4 linked regions of the Arabidopsis thaliana genome follow. The protein of the gene in region 1 interacts with the protein of each later gene in a pairwise test. Each region holds a gene or a part of one and is shown on either strand. Other genes may lie near its edges. The genes, in order: DHAR1, AT4G19645, AT1G47530 and UGT74E2.

Region 1 (3,715 bases):
CCTATGCTGTCTAAGTAGCAATAGAAGTATACCCGCACCAATGGTTACTTGTGGGTTTTCAGGTAATCAGAAATGTTAAACCCAAAATCATACCTCTCCAGAAGGAATTCTGGTGTTTTGTCGTACAAGTGCACCAGCAGCAACCATCCCATGCTTTTCAACAACGACCCCATCAAGAAGTGTCGCACCCATCCCAATAAAGGTCTCATCCTCAACAGTACATCCATGTAAAACAGCACTATGACCTGTTACACATTTAATTTAAGACTATATCCCAAATGCTTCTTGGAGATGTATGCATATTAAACATTTTCAAAATAAACAGTGAGTAAGAGATTCCCACTAACCAATGGTTACATTGTCTCCAATTATGGTTGGGTGCACCTTCCCGCTTAAGTTTGATTTTGCCACATGCACAAGTGAGTTGTCCTGAATATTAGTTCCTGACCCAACACTTACGGTGTTCACATCGCCTGCGCAGAAAAAAAGAGAGAAAGCAAGTTTAGATTGTATGTTATCCCAGTTTCCTGGTAAAGTACTAACAGGCTTAGCCATACAGTACCAATGTGTTATGACATGAAAGCATTCTGTAAAAAGGACAACCCTATTTCATCACCATTAAATAAAAATCCAGACTAGCCAACTCATACTCGCAATAAGGATTCAACTCAAACTCAATAATCTGTATATGATATCGTTCAACTAATTCTGGTGTTATGACATGAAAGCATTCTGTATATGATTGGGGATATCATATACCCAATCACCCATTAGAGCAACTGCCAGTATCATCAAGATACGATATGTAGTAATGATCTGTTTAAGATCCTTCAATAAAGCTAGAAAGCTCCATTTTGAGTAGTAGTCTTGTTCATCGCTTAACCAGAAGAGTAAAAAACAGATATTCGTTCACTATTTTCTATCGTAAGAGTTGACACAGCTAAGGATACAGAAGTAGATACTATTTCAAACAAAACTTCAGTCACTAAAATAGTCAACCACCAAACACCAAACATTGAGGCTTAGTAGCTAGCTCACCTCGTAATACGCATCCATACCAAATGGACGATCCTCTTCCAATGTGAACGTCCCCAATAACTGAGGCGCTTGGTGCCACAAAAGCTTCCTTGTCCACAATCGGAGCCTTATCAAATACATTCATCAGTGTCCGATGCCTTGACACTACACAGAGAAAACCACAATTACATATAAGCAAATTTCGTGACCAGGAAACAAAAAAAAAACTAAGCAGCAAAACACATTCCACATCAATTAATCCCTTGTGCCATTCGAATCCAGAATCGCTATACCTACAAAGACATCAATTCCAGATCTCTAACCTAACCAGAATAGGTGAGCTGAATTACCCAATCGAAACTCCTCACTCTTTACGAATTCGAAATCGGAGTGAAAAATAGAGTTACGCAGAATCTTACGTTGTTCTCGGAAGTAATTTTTGCCTTGAAGGCGACAACCGAGGCGATCAAGAGCTTGACCAGTCTCACGGATCCAAAAACCGACCGAGTAAAATGCTCTGCCTAGGGTTCCCATTGATCGTCACTTTCTTCGAGCTCACAGGTAAACGAGGACTCAACACTGAATGAAGAAGACGAAAATGGTCGAAGCTGAAGAAGAGACGGAAGAAAAAAAATCAGCGAAAATGGATTTCAACAGGAACATTCCGGGACGGCGAAACAATAAATTACAGTTACAGTGGTTTAATATGGTTTAATCGAACCAAAACAATACGAAATATGAACCAAATCTAATTCGATATTTCAGGTAGTAGTTTCATTAAACCGATTATATTATTCGGTACGAATTTATTACTATATTTTCACTAAATTGAACGGTCCAAAACCTGCCGACCAAAAATCAAATGGCCCTATCAGTAACAATGTCGTTTCGTATCGTCGTCACTTGCAACGCATAACACGTGAGAAAAGATAAACATCGGGTAAAAATGGCCCACTGGTGGGTGGAGAATGGTAATAATTCAGTTTAAAAGCTAAGCCTTCTCACTGATTAACTCAATCATTCATCCGTCTCTGCAAACAAAGGAAGAAGAATCAAGATGGCTCTGGAAATCTGTGTGAAAGCTGCTGTTGGTGCTCCTGATCATCTCGGCGACTGTAACCATCTTCTCTTTCTCTCTCTGTTTTTGTTTTGCATTAAGCTTTTGATTTTGCAATTCTTAATTTCTGAGCTTTGATCGTTGGTAAATTTACTAATTTAAGTGTTTGTTTGTCGTTTTAGGTCCGTTCAGCCAACGGGCTCTTCTCACACTCGAGGAGAAGAGTCTTACCTACAAAATCCATCTGATTAACCTCTCTGACAAACCCCAGTGGTCAGTTTCTCTCACGCCTAAACCCTTAAGATCGGTCTAGTTTGAACTTGTTTAGCCATAATCTCTGAAATTTTACTTGTAACTGGTACGAGCTTTGTGTTAACCGGAAATTGGATTGGCTTCATGTGCGAGCATTGTGTTAACCGGAACTTGAAATTGGTGGCTTTGGTTTTATATATGATGCAGGTTCTTGGACATTAGTCCTCAAGGGAAAGTACCAGTGCTTAAGATCGACGACAAGTGGGTGACTGATTCCGACGTCATCGTTGGTATACTCGAGGAGAAGTATCCTGATCCACCACTCAAGACTCCTGCTGAATTTGCCTCTGTTGGATCCAACATTTTTGGTACTTTTGGGACATTCTTGAAGAGCAAAGACTCCAATGACGGATCTGAACATGCCTTGCTTGTTGAGCTAGAAGCTTTGGAAAACCATCTTAAGAGTCACGATGGCCCTTTTATCGCCGGAGAAAGAGTTTCCGCAGTGGATCTAAGCTTAGCACCAAAGCTTTACCACCTTCAAGTTGCTCTTGGCCATTTCAAAAGCTGGTCTGTCCCTGAGAGCTTTCCCCATGTCCATAACTACATGAAGACTCTGTTCTCGCTCGACTCTTTTGAGAAAACTAAGACCGAGGAAAAGTATGTGATCTCTGGATGGGCTCCCAAGGTTAACCCTTGAAACTATGCACCGTTATGAGATCGTTGGTGTGGTAATGTTGTTCAAGGTCTCTCTCTTATATCAGTCAAATAATGTACTTGGACCTTTTTATGTAATGTACTGTATCAATCAAATAAGAAGCCTATTTTGAAATAAGATTTGCCTCCATATCGAAACTCGGATAAACACTGGCTACACGTAACATAAGGGACAAGGGTTTTTTCAGACAAATTATTTAAGAAACTCATCGACAGTACTTGTGTACTTGACCTCAGGATAAAGCTCAGAAGTCTTAACTCCAAAAGAAGGATCTATAGTCAAGGAGGTAAAGTCGCTCTTCGCAAGGACCGTATGGATCAAACCCACAAAAAAATCCATTGGAGGCTGGGTCTCTGCAAATGCAAGTGACTCGTTTAATACTTTGGAGTTTGGACTGATGAATATTGGATATCAGAAACTGTTTTTATGGTTTAACTGATCACCTTTGATGGTTTTGAGGAGTTCTTCCTCAGAAACATAAGTCTTGTCGAGACTCGAGAGTCTTACCGATCTTTACATCCCACAAATCAACCATATCGTTCTGCGATACAATGTTCTTGGGCGGGTGAATGTAGGGTTGGGTGAGATTTTCCAAGAATGTTCCTGGGAGAAGGCAGTTATAGTCGCACCGTCAGCAGTCGTAAGGTAATCGGATTTTATTGTGGATGACC
Region 2 (5,460 bases), on another chromosome or scaffold:
CCAATTCAACATCACGTATCAAAATTCTCCAAATTAGAAACAGAATCAAATCCAGAAAACTGAAAATCTAACAAAACGGGTCTGCAAATTCAATCAATTTTACGATCATCGGAGAGAGACAAACCAACCACAAGGGAACTCAAAAGAATCGAGCTAATAAGACTGACCAATTTGGCGTTAATGCTCTTGTTTCCAGCTGCAGCCATGGATTATCGATCTGAAGAGAATCGCAGGTCGATACGATAATCTTCAGCTCAAAACTGAGATTGAAGATCAAAAGACGACGGAGACACAAAAAGGTTAAAAAAAATTAGTGAGCGGAAACGCGTCGTCAACAACAACCAATCTCCTCCTCCTCAATTAATGTTGCTTTCTTTCTAGAACTAACAAAAAATACAAGTAAACAAATATTACACGGCAAGTTAATATGACACGAAAAAACTACGAATATAATCGTTGGCCCAATGTAGATTTAGGCCCAAGTCTTTTTGGGTTAAGTCCTCTATTGATTTCGTACATGGATTTAAGTATTCAGCATGCATAGGGACTGTTGTGGGAATAATGGGAATGAGATTTTGAACATAATTAGTGTATAAGCTAAAAGTTAGAAACAAACCATATCTTTGTTGCTTATAAACTTGTAAGATTCTTCATAAGAGTTTTATATTTACATAAAAAAAAAAACACAACTCTTTCTTCACTGTCTTTTCTCAAGAGTTTTCTTCAATCCCTTCACTATCTTACCAAACCAGATCAAGTTCATGACACTCAATGAAATCGGTACAACAAATACCAGTAGATAACCGAATGTATGCATCTCTATCACCTGCCGAAAAATCCATTGATCATCAATTCATTATCTCTAAACCTAACCAATACAACAGCAAAAAAAAAAAAAAAACAGAGTAATTCCTATTTTTCCTAAAGGCTAGACCGTTTGGTTTAGAGATAATCAAACCGAAATCTTGATTACCTGATCATAATGTGTGTAGACATGGTAAAACATGTAGATGAACAGAAGAATTCTTGCTGTCTGCAAACAAAACATCATTGCTATAAAAAAGGAGATCAAGTTTTCAGACATTTACAACGAAAAACAAAGGTTTTAAGAAACTCACCAACCAAGCAAAGAATATAGCAACTCCATTAACAAGATAAGCTTTAGATCGTTTCAAACCAGCAATGTCAAGGTACCATCTAAGATTGATCTCTGGTGTAGTCACTTCAGAGATTAAAACCATGTATGTGTAAAGCTGAGCCTCTCCAGAGAACAAAGAATACGCTACTGCTGTTCCAGATAAGCAGTGATGTAATATCTGAAACAAAAAACACAAGATTGTCAAGTAATTGAAGACCACATAAGCTTTCATGTGTCTAACTTACATATTCTGATCCTCCTAAAGAAGGGTATAACCAAAAGATCATTCCAAGATCCGCAAGAAAGTAACCAACTGATACCTATGCAAAAAACACATCACAACAAAGTACCATATAAGTTGATCAATGCTCATGAGTAGGACTTGTGAGATAAAATGAAGAAAGATCAAAACTTACTCCTAAACCAAAGGTAGACAGAGGCGAGTTACGAAACACCGTAAGGGTTTCAAGGCTTCTTTGGTCAGAAAACAAATCAGAGAAGAACGCAAAGTATAATGCCATGAATGAGATAAAGATCGCATGGACTGTAGAAATTCCCCTGTCAAGCCAAAGTGATAAGAGACTAGAGCATAACATATAAAGGCTGAAACAAGGAACCTATACATACCTGTTGTTCCATTCAATTCTCTTTATTTTTGTGAGAGCTGAGTATGATTTGACATGAATTGAGCTGAATAACTCCGTAAGATCATATACCTAAGAACATAAGCTACACTGTTTAAAAACAGAATGCAGAAAAAAGTGAAGTTTCTGCAATTGTAAGTGAAGAGAAGCAAAACTTACCAATTTGCAAAGACAGATTCCAACAAGAACAGAAGTATATGGAAGAAATGGATCTGCTAATAAATAGTGTTCAACAAAATACTCTGCTTGATTTTGGTAAGATTTGATCTCCATGACTGTCTCTAGTTCTCAATTTCTTCTTTGGTGAATGGTTTTAACTCTTCTTCTTCTACAGACTAATCACTTCTCTCAAGCTTTATCATCATCATTACTGAAATATAGAAAAGAAAGAGCAAAGTAAGAAACTTCATTTCTGAACAAAAAGTCTTTTCAAGGATTATACAAATGGTTTTGTGAATTACATCAGAAGAAACCACAAAAATCTTCGTTATACCCAAGAAGAAGATACTAAAAGACTCTGTTTTTATCGTTTGATCAGAGAAAATCCAATTTTGTAACAATAAGTTTAAACTTTAAAACGGACAAAAAGTAGAGACAGAAGCAATCAACACGTGAACCGCAAAAGGCTGCAGAAGAAACGCAAAGAAGATGAAGAAGGAGAAGGACGTTACAGAGACGATTATGAGAGAAGAAAAAAAGGGTTCTTTCTTCAGAGACTTCGAGAAATTATCCAAAGTTAAGAGAGTTTTTTACCAAGTAACTTGAAGCGCAAGAGGGTGCAGTAGTAATTAAAAAAACAAAACTACCAAAGTAGTTATCTTAAGAATAATCGAGAGAGAAGACAACTATTGACAAAGATAATTCAGTTTGGGTTTTGTTTTAAGGATATGCTTAATAGTTAATAACATGTAATTAGGGAGGAAACAAAGGAAGCAGAAAATGGTTGTATAAATTATGGATTCTGACCTTGTTAGACGATTTAAATCGAGTGTGCAGGAAAACCTAAGGGAGAATATGTTAATTATGAAATATTATATCTTTTATATTGAAAGCACCAAATCATCTTGTTTTTGGTTGTATCTTATATATAAAAGGGTAAGGTAGGTGGATTTTAGGAGGAGCCAAGGATTTGTTTTTTGTTTTTTCTTGCAGAAATTTGGTAATTTTGGCTTTTATAATTTTGTTACAAATAGTGAATAAAATATTAAAAAAATAAGAGAAAAAAATATTTAAAGATATAGTGAATAAGATTTAACTTCATTGTTATAATCTATATTTAATAATTTACTTATAATTATAATTAAAAATTCACTTAAATAAGACATATTAAGATCTTTGAAAATAATTTATATTGTAATTTACTGTCAAAAGGTTTTGAAAAAAACAACATTTGAAAAATAATCAAAACAAATATAAAATTCATCCGAGTAAGCCACAAGTTTTATATAAAGCTGTTTTACAAAGAAAAATCATTCCTCTCAAACATAACAAATAGTCAAACAAAACATATGCAAGTTAAACAAGAGTCAAGTTATCTTTTTCCATCATGTTGAACTAAAATCTAAATGCACTTAAGATAGTCAGAAATATTTTGAAACTAAAACTAGTGATTAAAAGAATACTTGTTATTATATGTTTGGTAGGCGTTTTAGCTTGAAGATGATGACCTAACATGAATTGAATCTACCATGGACCACTTGAAATTGACCTAATAAAAAAGTTACATATCTATAAAATCAAAAATCAGAAAGACGAACAAACCATTTATGCTCGTGAAGAAAACTCACCGTTTCTTGCTGCCTTTATCTTGCATACATATAGTCAGCTCAAAGAAATCACCACTTGGTTGGGTTTTGAAGTCGTTTTATAGTGATATACTTGAAGAATTTGTAACGCTCGTGATAATAACACGATTTCGTGTGATATGTTTATCACTTTTGACAAGTCTAAACTTGACAAGTCTATTAATTCGGTATCAAAAGAGGAATAATAATATCTCACGTCAAGTCTTTTAAGGCCAAGTGTTGATGATGCACTAATTGGTACCTTTATGATATTTCGGAAACTCTTAGGCACATATTGAAGTATAGAAAAATAAGATTATGGTCGTTTCGGATATATTATAAACGTTTAGGGGCTTCTCTGAAATTTCCACCTTAATTTGAAGCCAGAACAAGGTTTAAGCAAAGTAACTGAGATTTGGCTATGAACCCTAAGAATCTTGGGAAAATGGTTGATTCAAATGCTTAATAAGCCCTAATTTCAGGTAAATTTCTTACTTGAAAGAGTAAGCATTGAGAATTCTTCATAGCTCTCTATTTGATTGTGACTTTCACCTGTTTCTCTTTGTTGTTAGGTTGCGATGTTATTATCCAGAAATCAGAGAAGAGTTCATAAACTGTTGAATATGATTTCAAATCTCAACTACTGTATAACTTTCTCATCTATTCCTCGTCAAAACCCAGTTCAAAGGTTCGACCTTTCTCGTGTTTCAGTTCCATTTCGGAGTTTTCAGATTGAAAGCTGTGTTCGTCAGGATAAATCTAAGTTACAACAACACTCGTCTCACTTACCAACTAGGTTTTTCGTTAATCCGGTATCAAGGGCTAGTAGGAATCAAGCTCAAGAAGCTCTTTTTGATTACTTGCATTATACTAGAAGCTTTACTTTTACTGATGCAGAGCATATAAGTAAGAATTCTCCTTGTTTTATGTCGACTTTGTTGTCTAAGATTGATGATAATCAGAAAGATGTATCCAAGGGATTGACTAAGTTCCTTAGGTACAATCCGATAAACGAGTTTGAACCGTTTTTCGAGAGTTTGGGTTTGTGTCCTTATGAGTTTGAAACGTTTCTTCCACGGAAGCTAATGTTTTTGAGTGATGATGGTATCATGTTTGAGAACTTTCATGCTCTTTGCAACTATGGGATCCCGCGTGGTAAGATTGGCCGTATGTATAAAGAAGCGAGAGAGATTTTTAGATATGAATCTGGGATGTTGGCGATGAAGCTAAGGGGTTATGAGAATTTGGGTCTTAGTAAGGCTACAGTTATTAAGTTAGTTACTAGTTGCCCTTTGCTACTGGTTGGTGGGATTGATGCTGAGTTTTCTTCTGTAGTTGATAAGTTGAAAGGGTTACAAGTAGGATGTGATTGGCTTGGGCGGTACTTGTCTGACCGGAAAACATATAGCTGGCGCAGAATTCTGGAGACAATAGAGTTTCTTGATAAAGTGGGATGTAAAGAGGAGAAGTTGAGTAGTCTTTTGAAAACGTATCCAGCTTTGGTAATCGAAGGCTCCGGAAAGAAATTCTATGTTCTGTTTGGTAGGTTGTTTAAAGCGGGGCTTCAAGTGAATGAGATTTATAGGCTATTTATAGACAATCCAGAGATGTTGTCAGACAAATGCGTGAAAAATATTCAGAAGACGTTGGATTTCTTGATTGCTATTAGAATGGAAACGCAGTTTATCACGAAGATTTTGCTGAGTCATATGGAGCTTATTGGTTCATGCTCTCTGCCAGCACCTAGAACTGCTTGTCTTAGTTTGAATGTTAAACAAGACGAGCTATGTAAGATCTTAAAGAAAGAGCCTTTGAGATTGTTTTGTTTTGTTTCTACAACGAAGAAGAGAAAAAGCAAACCTCTTTCGGAAGACTCGAGGAAATACTTAGAGAA
Region 3 (5,401 bases), about 11 Mb from region 1:
TGTAAATCTATTTCCAGCCAAAAAAATATTTTTGCGGGAAAAATGTTTTTGAGAAAAAAACTTTGATGGAAATTTTTTTTTCGAAATTTTTTGGTGGGAAATTTATTTTGGAATATTTTAGGCGAAAAAATATTAATATTTCATTTTGTTAACCTAAAACAATTTCGAAATATGAGTAAAATGGTCATTAAAAATTTAAAGAGGTATAAATGAAAATGGCAAATAAGAAAAGGTAGAATTGAAAAGGGGTAGTGTGGAAAGGACATTCTGAGCAATTATTCAATATTGTATGACTACTAAATTCTCATATGCAAATGTGAAATCAAATTTGTATTCAATCACTTGTTTATATAATGTCTGGTTCTTTAGATATTAGCTCACTTCAGGTAAGAAAACAAAATGTGGTAGCCTCATTACTTCATTAGTGCAAAGAAAGTGATTCTTTGGGATAAATTTGGATAATTTTGAATCAAAGCTGTAGTAGGACAATACACTTTTATAGTATTTTTTATTAAAGGGAAAACTCAACATCTAAAGGCAAGGAATATCCAACAGTTTGAACGCTAAACAATCAAGGGACAAGCAGAGCGTTTTCTAAATAAAGTTGCCGTTCTTTGAGAGCCGAGCTCGAACCGTAATCTGGCTTCATCACACACATAGTTCATCTTCCCGGTCGTCCCATCTCTGCAATCAGGAAAATGCAACCTCGATCCAAACCTCATATCACCTCTTTCCTTAATATTCTCCATAATATCTTTCACAATCACACCATCCATATCTCCTTCAGAGGCAATCGATGTAACCTTAAGCAGCTTAGGCCACCACGGTTTGATATTGTAACTAAATACTCACAAGAGTTAATCTATGTTAGTTTTCGAAACAAAAGAAATATGTGAACAAAACTAACAACCAAGGAGTGAAATCTTTTGAGTCCACATGCAATATGTGATACAACGAGGATTCATCCCTCTCAGTATAGACTAGTTATTCTGAAACATAGCTTCCTCACTACCGCAAGAATCCCATGATACAACAACTACGCTCTTACAACAATGGTTAATTTGATCACGATTCAATAATCATCTACCATGATTCACTCTCTTTTTGGTTAAAGTTCAAAGTAATATTTTCGCATTTCTTTGATATAAAACGATGTCGATTATTTGGTTCATGACTTTTTATTTCTCTTAGTTTCACAACAACTTCGCTCTCACAACAATGGTTAATTTGAGCACTAACCAATGACCAATTGACCATGCATGATTCACTCTCCTTTTGGTTAAGTTCAGACAGTGTAAAAGCTTTTCTTGTTACAAAATGCTGTCGATTTTTTGGTTCATCAATTTTATTAATTTCTTTTGCACTTTCACCAACACCTAATATTAAAAAGAAAATAAAAACAAGATCCACCAATTCAATGCGATAGGGTAAGTGACTAAATGTTCATTGCCGTTGTCACCCTTTGAACCCAATTTAGGACTCAAAGAGCCGTCTGATTATATTTAACCTTGGTCGAAGTATTTCTAACGAGCTGGTAAGTCCTCATTGGTCCATTATATTCACTGTCCACAATAATTTTAATTACTTGTACGACTCGGTTAACTCCTTCTAGGAAAAACTAAAGTGTACCTACCTAGTACATACGTACTTCTTCATATTACCACAAGTTTTTTTTTTTTTTTCTTGCATTCAACTACGTGTTTAAAGTTTCGGCCCCAAACTTCGGCCCAAAAACAAAAACCAAATAAACTATTACAAAAATCTTTGTTATCATATCACACTATCATTTCAAGTTTTCAACCAATCCATACTCTTAACAATCCCATTAAATTGAGATTTATTCATATTAAGAAATTATGCTGATAATATTTAACTACCAAATTAGGCCGATTCATACCAAAACTATAGAATATGTACTAAATAATTCCATTACCTTCGTTTAGTCATTTTTGGCGGTTTATTTCTTTTGGATAGATCTCATGTCAGACCTTTTTAGACTATTCATTATGGCACCTACCACACTAGTGTGTCTCCATCTTCTGTATTTATATACATATATCATAAGTCAGAACAAAGAGAAAGCAAAGAAGAGAAACTAAAACAGAGCTTTTTTCACATGGGAAAGGATAAGACTTTGCCGTTGCTTGACCCTCGTGAGCCACCGGAACTCACCGGAACCAAGTCGGCGTCAAAAGTATGGGCCAAAGAGTTCGGCGAAGAGTCGAAGCGGCTTTGGGAGTTAGCAGGACCAGCGATTTTCACTGCCATAAGTCAATACTCTCTTGGTGCTCTCACTCAGACTTTCTCCGGCCGTCTCGGTGAACTTGAGCTCGCCGCCGTCTCAGTTGAAAACTCTGTTATCTCCGGTCTTGCCTTCGGTGTCATGGTATGTTACGTAAACACCCTTCACACGTGTCAGGTTCTTGGTAATGGATAATGTGTTCTAATAATAGCCACAGAAATAAAAGTCAATATTTGAGGACTTTTTTTGTATTAATTAATATCAATATTCGTTAATATCAATGAAGTAGATTTTCCCATACATTTAAAATTGTTTCGTAATTGTGATTAAGTAAATCCTAACAGTGTGTTTTATATTCAAATAAAGTAGATATATTAATGTAGTTGAGTTCAGTGTTATAATATTTGTTATACAAGTAATCTCTACGAGGGTCCTTGTGTAAGCTCTCTTGAATTTTGTTGCTTGTCATTTAAGTTTCCTATGAAAAAAGCTTAGAGATCAAACAATATAAACATTTTGATGATGGAAAATGGTGGCAGTTAGGGATGGGGAGTGCATTGGAGACGTTGTGTGGACAAGCATATGGCGCGGGACAGATTAGGATGATGGGAATATATATGCAACGTTCATGGGTCATTCTCTTTACTACTGCTTTGTTTTTGCTTCCCGTCTACATTTGGGCTCCTCCTATTCTTTCCTTCTTCGGCGAGGCTCCTCACATCTCTAAAGCCGCGGGTATCATTCTTGTTATTCCTTTTTGCCAATTGGTTTTGAGTTTGGAGTCAATGTTCACGTAACAACTTCTGCGTTGTTATAATTTTCAGGGAAGTTCGCATTGTGGATGATCCCGCAACTATTTGCCTATGCAGCCAACTTCCCGATACAGAAATTCTTGCAGTCACAGAGGAAAGTTCTTGTGATGGCTTGGATCTCTGGAGTGGTTTTAGTTATACATGCAGTTTTTAGCTGGCTCTTCATTCTTTACTTTAAGTGGGGACTTGTAGGTGCAGCTATCACTCTCAATACCTCGTGGTGGTTGATTGTTATTGGTCAGCTTTTGTATATCTTAATCACCAAATCAGACGGTGCGTGGACTGGATTTTCTATGCTAGCGTTTCGGGACCTCTATGGATTTGTCAAACTTTCCTTAGCCTCTGCTCTTATGCTTTGGTACCTATCCAATTTTTTTTGGCTAGAAGATAGCTTTAGACTTACGTTAGCTGAGACTTCGCTTGTAATGAAAGGTTAGTTGTTTTTGTTTTGCAGTTTGGAGTTTTGGTACTTGATGGTTCTGGTTGTTGTTACCGGTCTCCTTCCTAACCCGTTGATACCAGTCGATGCCATCTCCATTTGGTAATCAATTTGTGCTGATCTTTGGTTAGTTTCTCACTGAAAATAGGTTTGTTTAGTAACATATTTTATGTTTTGGGGTTCACAGCATGAATATAGAAGGGTGGACTGCCATGATTTCGATCGGGTTTAACGCTGCGATTAGGTAAGTTCTCTACCTTTATGTTTCAGGAGCCACATTTGGAAAGCTAATAAAAATCTCATGAACTGGTGAACTTTGTCTCTTGGTGTGATCAGTGTGAGAGTATCGAATGAGCTGGGTGCAGGAAACGCAGCGTTAGCCAAATTCTCAGTGATAGTCGTCTCCATAACTTCAACTCTTATCGGGATAGTGTGCATGATTGTTGTCTTAGCCACAAAAGACAGCTTCCCTTATCTTTTCACTTCAAGCGAAGCTGTGGCAGCAGAAACCACGAGAATAGCCGTCTTGTTGGGCTTCACTGTCCTCTTGAACAGCCTCCAGCCCGTCTTGTCAGGGGTTGCGGTTGGAGCGGGGTGGCAGGCTCTGGTTGCATACGTGAACATTGCGTGTTATTACATTATCGGACTACCTGCTGGTCTTGTTCTTGGATTCACACTAGACCTCGGCGTTCAGGTTAGCTATTTACTAATATGACCATTTTGTATTAGCCTTGTTCTTTTTAATCTGGTGTTAAATCATTTGTATATTTTTGTAGGGAATATGGGGAGGTATGGTAGCTGGAATATGCTTGCAGACACTTATATTGATTGGAATCATCTACTTCACTAACTGGAACAAAGAGGTCTCTTACTTTGTCTTTTAGTTGCTGCTATGTTCCTCCTTTGTGTTTGGTTTGATCATTTCATTAATTAGCTTTGAATTCTAAATTATGCAGGCTGAGCAAGCGGAGAGTCGAGTTCAGAGATGGGGAGGAACGGCGCAGGAGTGATCAACAACTCCCTTAGGACGTGGACTATATCAGTTATTGATCTTTTTTTGTCAATGTTCAATGTTGAGAAAATTGTTTATCGGAGAACAACATCATCTCTTTTTGTTTTTTGATATGCTTAAAGTTAACGAGTCTCTCAGTGATTGTTAGAGGGGTACGGTTTGTTATGTGTTAGACTTATGTTAGATTCTAGGATGGTTGTTGCTAAGCCAAAGTTCTTGATTAATTTTAAGTATGAGATTTAATCTTCATAAGCTTGTTGATCCTTCGTTTTTATTTTAATGGTCAGACTTGATCCAATGTTTATGTTCATTTGAAGGCGAAGATCTTACCGTTTGTCAAACATAGCTAATTAGTGGTGGTATTAGCAACAGATCTTTAGGACTGTCGTTGATCTGTTGCAACTCAGTCACTAAAAATTAACAAATCTTATATAAACAAGAGGAATATTAAAAAGAAAAAAAGAAGATGAAAATGAATATCAAAATAGTTGTGTGACGATACAATATATTAGAGATGGACTACAACAATTCATGAATCAGGGTCACAGACTAACCGTTAAAGCAGTAAATTTGTCTGCCCATCTCATAAGTGTTTGAATTAAAATTTAGGTCAGTCGAGAGCTGTGTGCTATATACTAGATAGTCTACCCTTAATTACTATGTTTGGTTTTCGCATGGAGATTTACTATAAATACACAAACAAGTAATAGTGCTCAAATTGTGAATCAACCCATGCACTAATCCTTTTCATCAATTCGGTCACGGTTAGGATAATGGATTCCGTAATATGGTAACAAATGCATTTTCTGAAATATCAAACTAACATCATTTAATGATTATATTGTTTGATACATTTTATGATATATCAAACTCTGTAAATCAACCAATATATATAC
Region 4 (4,180 bases), 5.1 Mb from region 1:
AGGGTCAAGTCATCTTTTTTTTTAATTAATTTAGGTTAAAAATTAAGAAAATAAAATGACAAATAATTAAACGATTGTGTCAAGTAAAGGAAAATAAAGATCTTGGAATTTAATTTAATTTAGAACAAAACAGATTTCTGATAGTAAACCGTAAATTTAGTGGTGGCTATATTATGCAGCAAGATTATCAGTTAACTAGATTTTAATCTGCGGTATACCGCGGGGTTATATCTTTTTTAAAAACTAAAAAGTTAATTTGTTTAGTAGATTAAATAAATATAATTCATTTTAATATTTTCTAAATGTACAACTCTTATATATATATATATATATTATTTAGTATACAATTACTATGTTTATTTTTTACTGTTTAACAATATAGAAAGAATAACACACAGTTTATTAAGTTAAAATTTAGATTATAACTAAATAATTCAAATTTTAATTATATTAATTTTATTAATATAATGATATTTTGATATATATATATATATATATATATATATATATGATTTCACCCATGATATACTGTCTCGTATTATTATCGATCCAAAGCCGTCATATCATCTAATCTCGTTCAGTGAAATTAAACATATCTAATAGATTTCACCCATGCTATACTGTCTCGTATTACCTATCGACCCAAACTCGTCATACCATCTAACCCCGTTCAGCGAAACTAAAAATTATTTTGTTATTTTTGTTTTAATAATACTTTAATTTAAAAGATATATAATTCAAATCAGTTTAAAAGTTTTATTTTAAATGGTTATTTAATTGTTTTAAAATTCATATATTATAAATATTATAAACCCGTCTTATCATCTAATCTCGTTCGGTAAAATTAAACATTATTTTTTTATTTTTTGTTTGAATAATATTTTTATTAAAAAATTTATAATTCACATCAATTTAAAAGTTTTATTTCAAATGATTATTTAATTTTTATACATTTCACATATTATAAATATTATAAAACGTTTTTCCGTTAAATATTTTAAATGTTTAACTAACTATAATATTTATTTTTAATAAAGTATAATATTAATAAATTCCTAAGATTTCTCCTTTTTAAAAGTAATTAGAATTGATGGAAATATATTAGATAAAGAAATGCTAATAATTAAGAATATTAATTAGTTATAATAATTAAATATCAATGACATCCACTGTAAATAAGTCCCAACTTAAGGATTTATTTACTAAAATAGCTCCAAAAATGTATATATAGATGTTATCAAAATTCGAATTAAAAAGTTGTAAAAAGACTCGGAGGCGGTCAAAATCAATTTTTTTATTTTCTTGCATAAATTTGTGAACTCCAGAGAATTAAGAATGACCAGTGATAGAGCTCCACGTGGATAGATTGGGTTCCAAAGTGGGACGGCGTTAAATATAAAAAGGCCGGAAGTTGTCGAAGTAGTCTTTTTTCCCATTATTTCTGTTTTCGGTTCCTTATTTTGTTCCTTTGTAATAATGAGTGACATCAAAAATATTTGGGGACGAATTAACAGGTAATGTAAATAGAAAGAAATAGAAAATTTTCTTTGATTTTACAATTTGGATTCGGATTGCATAAGCAATGACATCAACAGTAATACATAGCTGAGAGGCTGAGATGCAGTGTCTCTCTCTCAGGGAAGATGACAAAAAGAATCTGATATACACGTACGTATGTTGCGAGTTACATATTGATATATCACATGTCATAAGTCACATGCTAACGATAAACTAATAAACTAAAACAATTATGTCAACATATATCGGTGAATTGCATTATCATCGACCTCGGTCACTGTTCCGCACATCTTGGTCGCCACGGAACATAGACAATTTTTGGATTGTAGTCCAATTAATGAGTCCCCCACCAAAGCCGTAGTAAAATCGAAGTCGTTCTCTAATCCAATCATATATATATCCATAACACACACCAACAACACCCACACAACAAAAACTAGAGTCAGTAACAACACAAGATTAAAAAGAAGGAGAAAATGAGAGAAGGATCTCATCTTATCGTCTTGCCTTTCCCAGGACAAGGCCACATAACTCCAATGTCCCAGTTCTGCAAACGCTTAGCCTCAAAAGGTCTTAAGCTCACTCTGGTCCTCGTCTCCGACAAACCCTCTCCTCCATACAAAACAGAGCACGACTCAATCACTGTCTTCCCCATCTCCAACGGCTTCCAAGAAGGCGAGGAACCATTACAAGACCTCGATGATTACATGGAAAGAGTAGAAACCAGCATCAAAAACACCTTACCGAAGTTGGTTGAAGACATGAAACTGTCGGGAAATCCACCTAGGGCTATCGTGTACGACTCCACCATGCCATGGCTTCTTGATGTAGCTCATAGTTATGGATTGAGCGGTGCCGTGTTTTTCACGCAACCTTGGCTTGTCACAGCTATTTACTACCATGTTTTCAAGGGTTCGTTCTCTGTACCGTCTACAAAGTACGGTCACTCGACATTAGCATCTTTCCCTTCGTTCCCGATGCTGACTGCAAATGATTTGCCGTCTTTCCTCTGCGAATCGTCCTCATACCCGAATATACTGAGGATTGTGGTGGATCAGCTCTCAAACATTGATCGAGTCGACATAGTGTTGTGCAACACTTTCGATAAATTGGAGGAAAAGGTACAGAATATAAATCCATATAGAGGAACATGTCTCTGTCTTTTGTAGGAAGTGTTTTAAGTTTTATTTTCTCTGCTTGTAGTTGTTGAAATGGGTCCAAAGCTTGTGGCCAGTCTTGAATATTGGACCAACGGTTCCATCGATGTATTTAGACAAACGACTGTCTGAAGACAAGAACTACGGTTTTAGCCTCTTCAATGCGAAAGTCGCTGAATGCATGGAGTGGCTAAACTCAAAGGAGCCTAATTCTGTTGTCTATTTATCATTCGGAAGTTTGGTGATTCTAAAAGAAGATCAAATGTTGGAACTCGCTGCGGGTCTGAAACAGAGCGGACGTTTCTTTCTGTGGGTTGTGAGAGAGACAGAGACACACAAACTTCCAAGAAACTATGTCGAGGAAATCGGTGAAAAAGGACTTATTGTAAGCTGGAGTCCTCAGCTTGACGTACTTGCACATAAATCAATCGGTTGTTTCTTGACACACTGTGGATGGAACTCGACGTTAGAGGGATTGAGTTTGGGAGTTCCAATGATTGGTATGCCACACTGGACTGATCAGCCCACGAATGCTAAGTTCATGCAGGATGTGTGGAAGGTTGGGGTAAGGGTTAAGGCAGAAGGTGATGGGTTTGTGAGAAGAGAAGAGATTATGAGAAGTGTGGAAGAAGTTATGGAGGGAGAGAAAGGGAAAGAGATTAGAAAGAATGCTGAGAAATGGAAAGTGTTGGCTCAAGAGGCAGTTTCTGAAGGAGGTAGCTCTGATAAGAGCATCAATGAGTTTGTTTCTATGTTTTGTTGAATGATTTAAATTGATATGTTCAAAAGTACATCGTCTTTTGCAAGTCCAATTGTAATTCTTGTTGTTGTTGTAGTAATAACTAATAATATAGTTTCTCATTTGTCTTCAGCTCTCTATTAATTCCAAGTTCCAAATGATAACATGTGAGTTAAAAATCCAGGGTTTAATAAAATATCCAAGCCGGATAAAATTTTGCATAACTCTATAAAAATTCATCTCATTTTTTTTTAAAAATGAAATATACACTACACACCTAAAGCTACTTTAAATGTGACGGCCTTATGCAGTCAAAGGTCATATGGTAGGTTGAATTATCATCGATGTCTATCCCCACACATCTTGGTAGCCACGTTTGACCTTTTTGGATAGTAGTCACAAGAAAAGTCGTAAAATCAAAGTCGTCCTCTAACCCAACCTTATAAATACACACACCCACACATAACAGAGTCAGAGTAAGAACGAAAGACAAAAAAAAAAAAGATGAGAGAAGGATCTCATGTTATTGTTTTGCCTTTCCCAGCACAAGGCCACATAACTCCAATGTCCCAATTCTGTAAACGCTTAGCCTCAAAAAGTCTTAAGATCACTCTTGTCCTCGTCTCCGACAAGCCCTCTCCGCCGTACAAAACAGAGCACGACACAATCACTGTCGTCCCCATCTCCAATGGTTTCCAAGAAGGCCAGGAACGATCAGAAGACCTAGATGAGTACATGGAAAGAGTAGAATCCAGCATCAAAAACC

What was found.
Region 2: the proteins of DHAR1 (region 1) and AT4G19645 interact in a protein complementation assay, tested with the Arabidopsis thaliana proteins (one large-scale study listed by BioGRID).
Region 3: the proteins of DHAR1 (region 1) and AT1G47530 interact in a protein complementation assay, tested with the Arabidopsis thaliana proteins (one large-scale study listed by BioGRID).
Region 4: the proteins of DHAR1 (region 1) and UGT74E2 interact in a two-hybrid assay, tested with the Arabidopsis thaliana proteins (one large-scale study listed by BioGRID).

Annotation. Positions count from the first base shown.
Region 1 is NC_003070.9:6,772,773-6,776,487, reverse strand, and holds DHAR1 (dehydroascorbate reductase), read left to right. Parts: upstream 1-1,964; 5' UTR 1,965-2,074; coding exon 2,075-2,132; intron 2,133-2,256; coding exon 2,257-2,347; intron 2,348-2,533; coding exon 2,534-3,026; 3' UTR 3,027-3,186; downstream 3,187-3,715. Other genes in the region: GAMMA CA1 (gamma carbonic anhydrase 1), read right to left, coding at 94-245, 348-473, 1,039-1,182, 1,437-1,551; AT1G19565 (uncharacterized protein), read left to right, coding at 3,357-3,409, 3,518-3,609. UniProt on the Arabidopsis thaliana protein: Displays a dual function. As a soluble protein, exhibits glutathione-dependent thiol transferase and dehydroascorbate (DHA) reductase activities. Key component of the ascorbate recycling system.
Region 2 is NC_003075.7:10,689,244-10,694,703, forward strand, and holds AT4G19645 (TRAM, LAG1 and CLN8 (TLC) lipid-sensing domain containing protein), read right to left. Parts: upstream 3,589-5,460; 5' UTR 3,570-3,588; intron 2,779-3,569; exon of another isoform or gene 2,749-2,778; intron 2,720-2,748; exon of another isoform or gene 2,518-2,719; coding exon of another isoform or gene 2,431-2,517; exon of another isoform or gene 2,244-2,430; intron 2,153-2,243; 5' UTR 2,056-2,152; coding exon 1,942-2,055; intron 1,855-1,941; coding exon 1,766-1,854; intron 1,697-1,765; coding exon 1,555-1,696; intron 1,459-1,554; coding exon 1,384-1,458; intron 1,317-1,383; coding exon 1,119-1,316; intron 1,034-1,118; coding exon 974-1,033; intron 827-973; coding exon 698-826; 3' UTR 515-697; downstream 1-514. Other genes in the region: ARA7 (Ras-related small GTP-binding family protein), read right to left, coding at 168-206; AT4G19650 (Mitochondrial transcription termination factor family protein), read left to right, coding at 4,145-5,460.
Region 3 is NC_003070.9:17,449,608-17,455,008, forward strand, and holds AT1G47530 (MATE efflux family protein), read left to right. Parts: upstream 1-1,945; 5' UTR 1,946-2,116; coding exon 2,117-2,386; exon of another isoform or gene 2,387-2,680; intron 2,681-2,781; coding exon 2,782-2,977; intron 2,978-3,066; coding exon 3,067-3,412; intron 3,413-3,508; coding exon 3,509-3,595; intron 3,596-3,680; coding exon 3,681-3,737; intron 3,738-3,829; coding exon 3,830-4,187; intron 4,188-4,269; coding exon 4,270-4,356; intron 4,357-4,449; coding exon 4,450-4,503; 3' UTR 4,504-4,854; downstream 4,855-5,401.
Region 4 is NC_003070.9:1,702,454-1,706,633, reverse strand, and holds UGT74E2 (Uridine diphosphate glycosyltransferase 74E2), read left to right. Parts: upstream 1-1,795; 5' UTR 1,796-1,994; coding exon 1,995-2,639; intron 2,640-2,721; coding exon 2,722-3,438; 3' UTR 3,439-3,632; downstream 3,633-4,180. Other genes in the region: AT1G05675 (UDP-Glycosyltransferase superfamily protein), read left to right, coding at 3,919-4,180. UniProt on the Arabidopsis thaliana protein: Glucosyltransferase that acts on the auxin indole-3-butyric acid (IBA). Mediates abiotic stress responses and stress-induced morphological adaptations by regulating auxin homeostasis.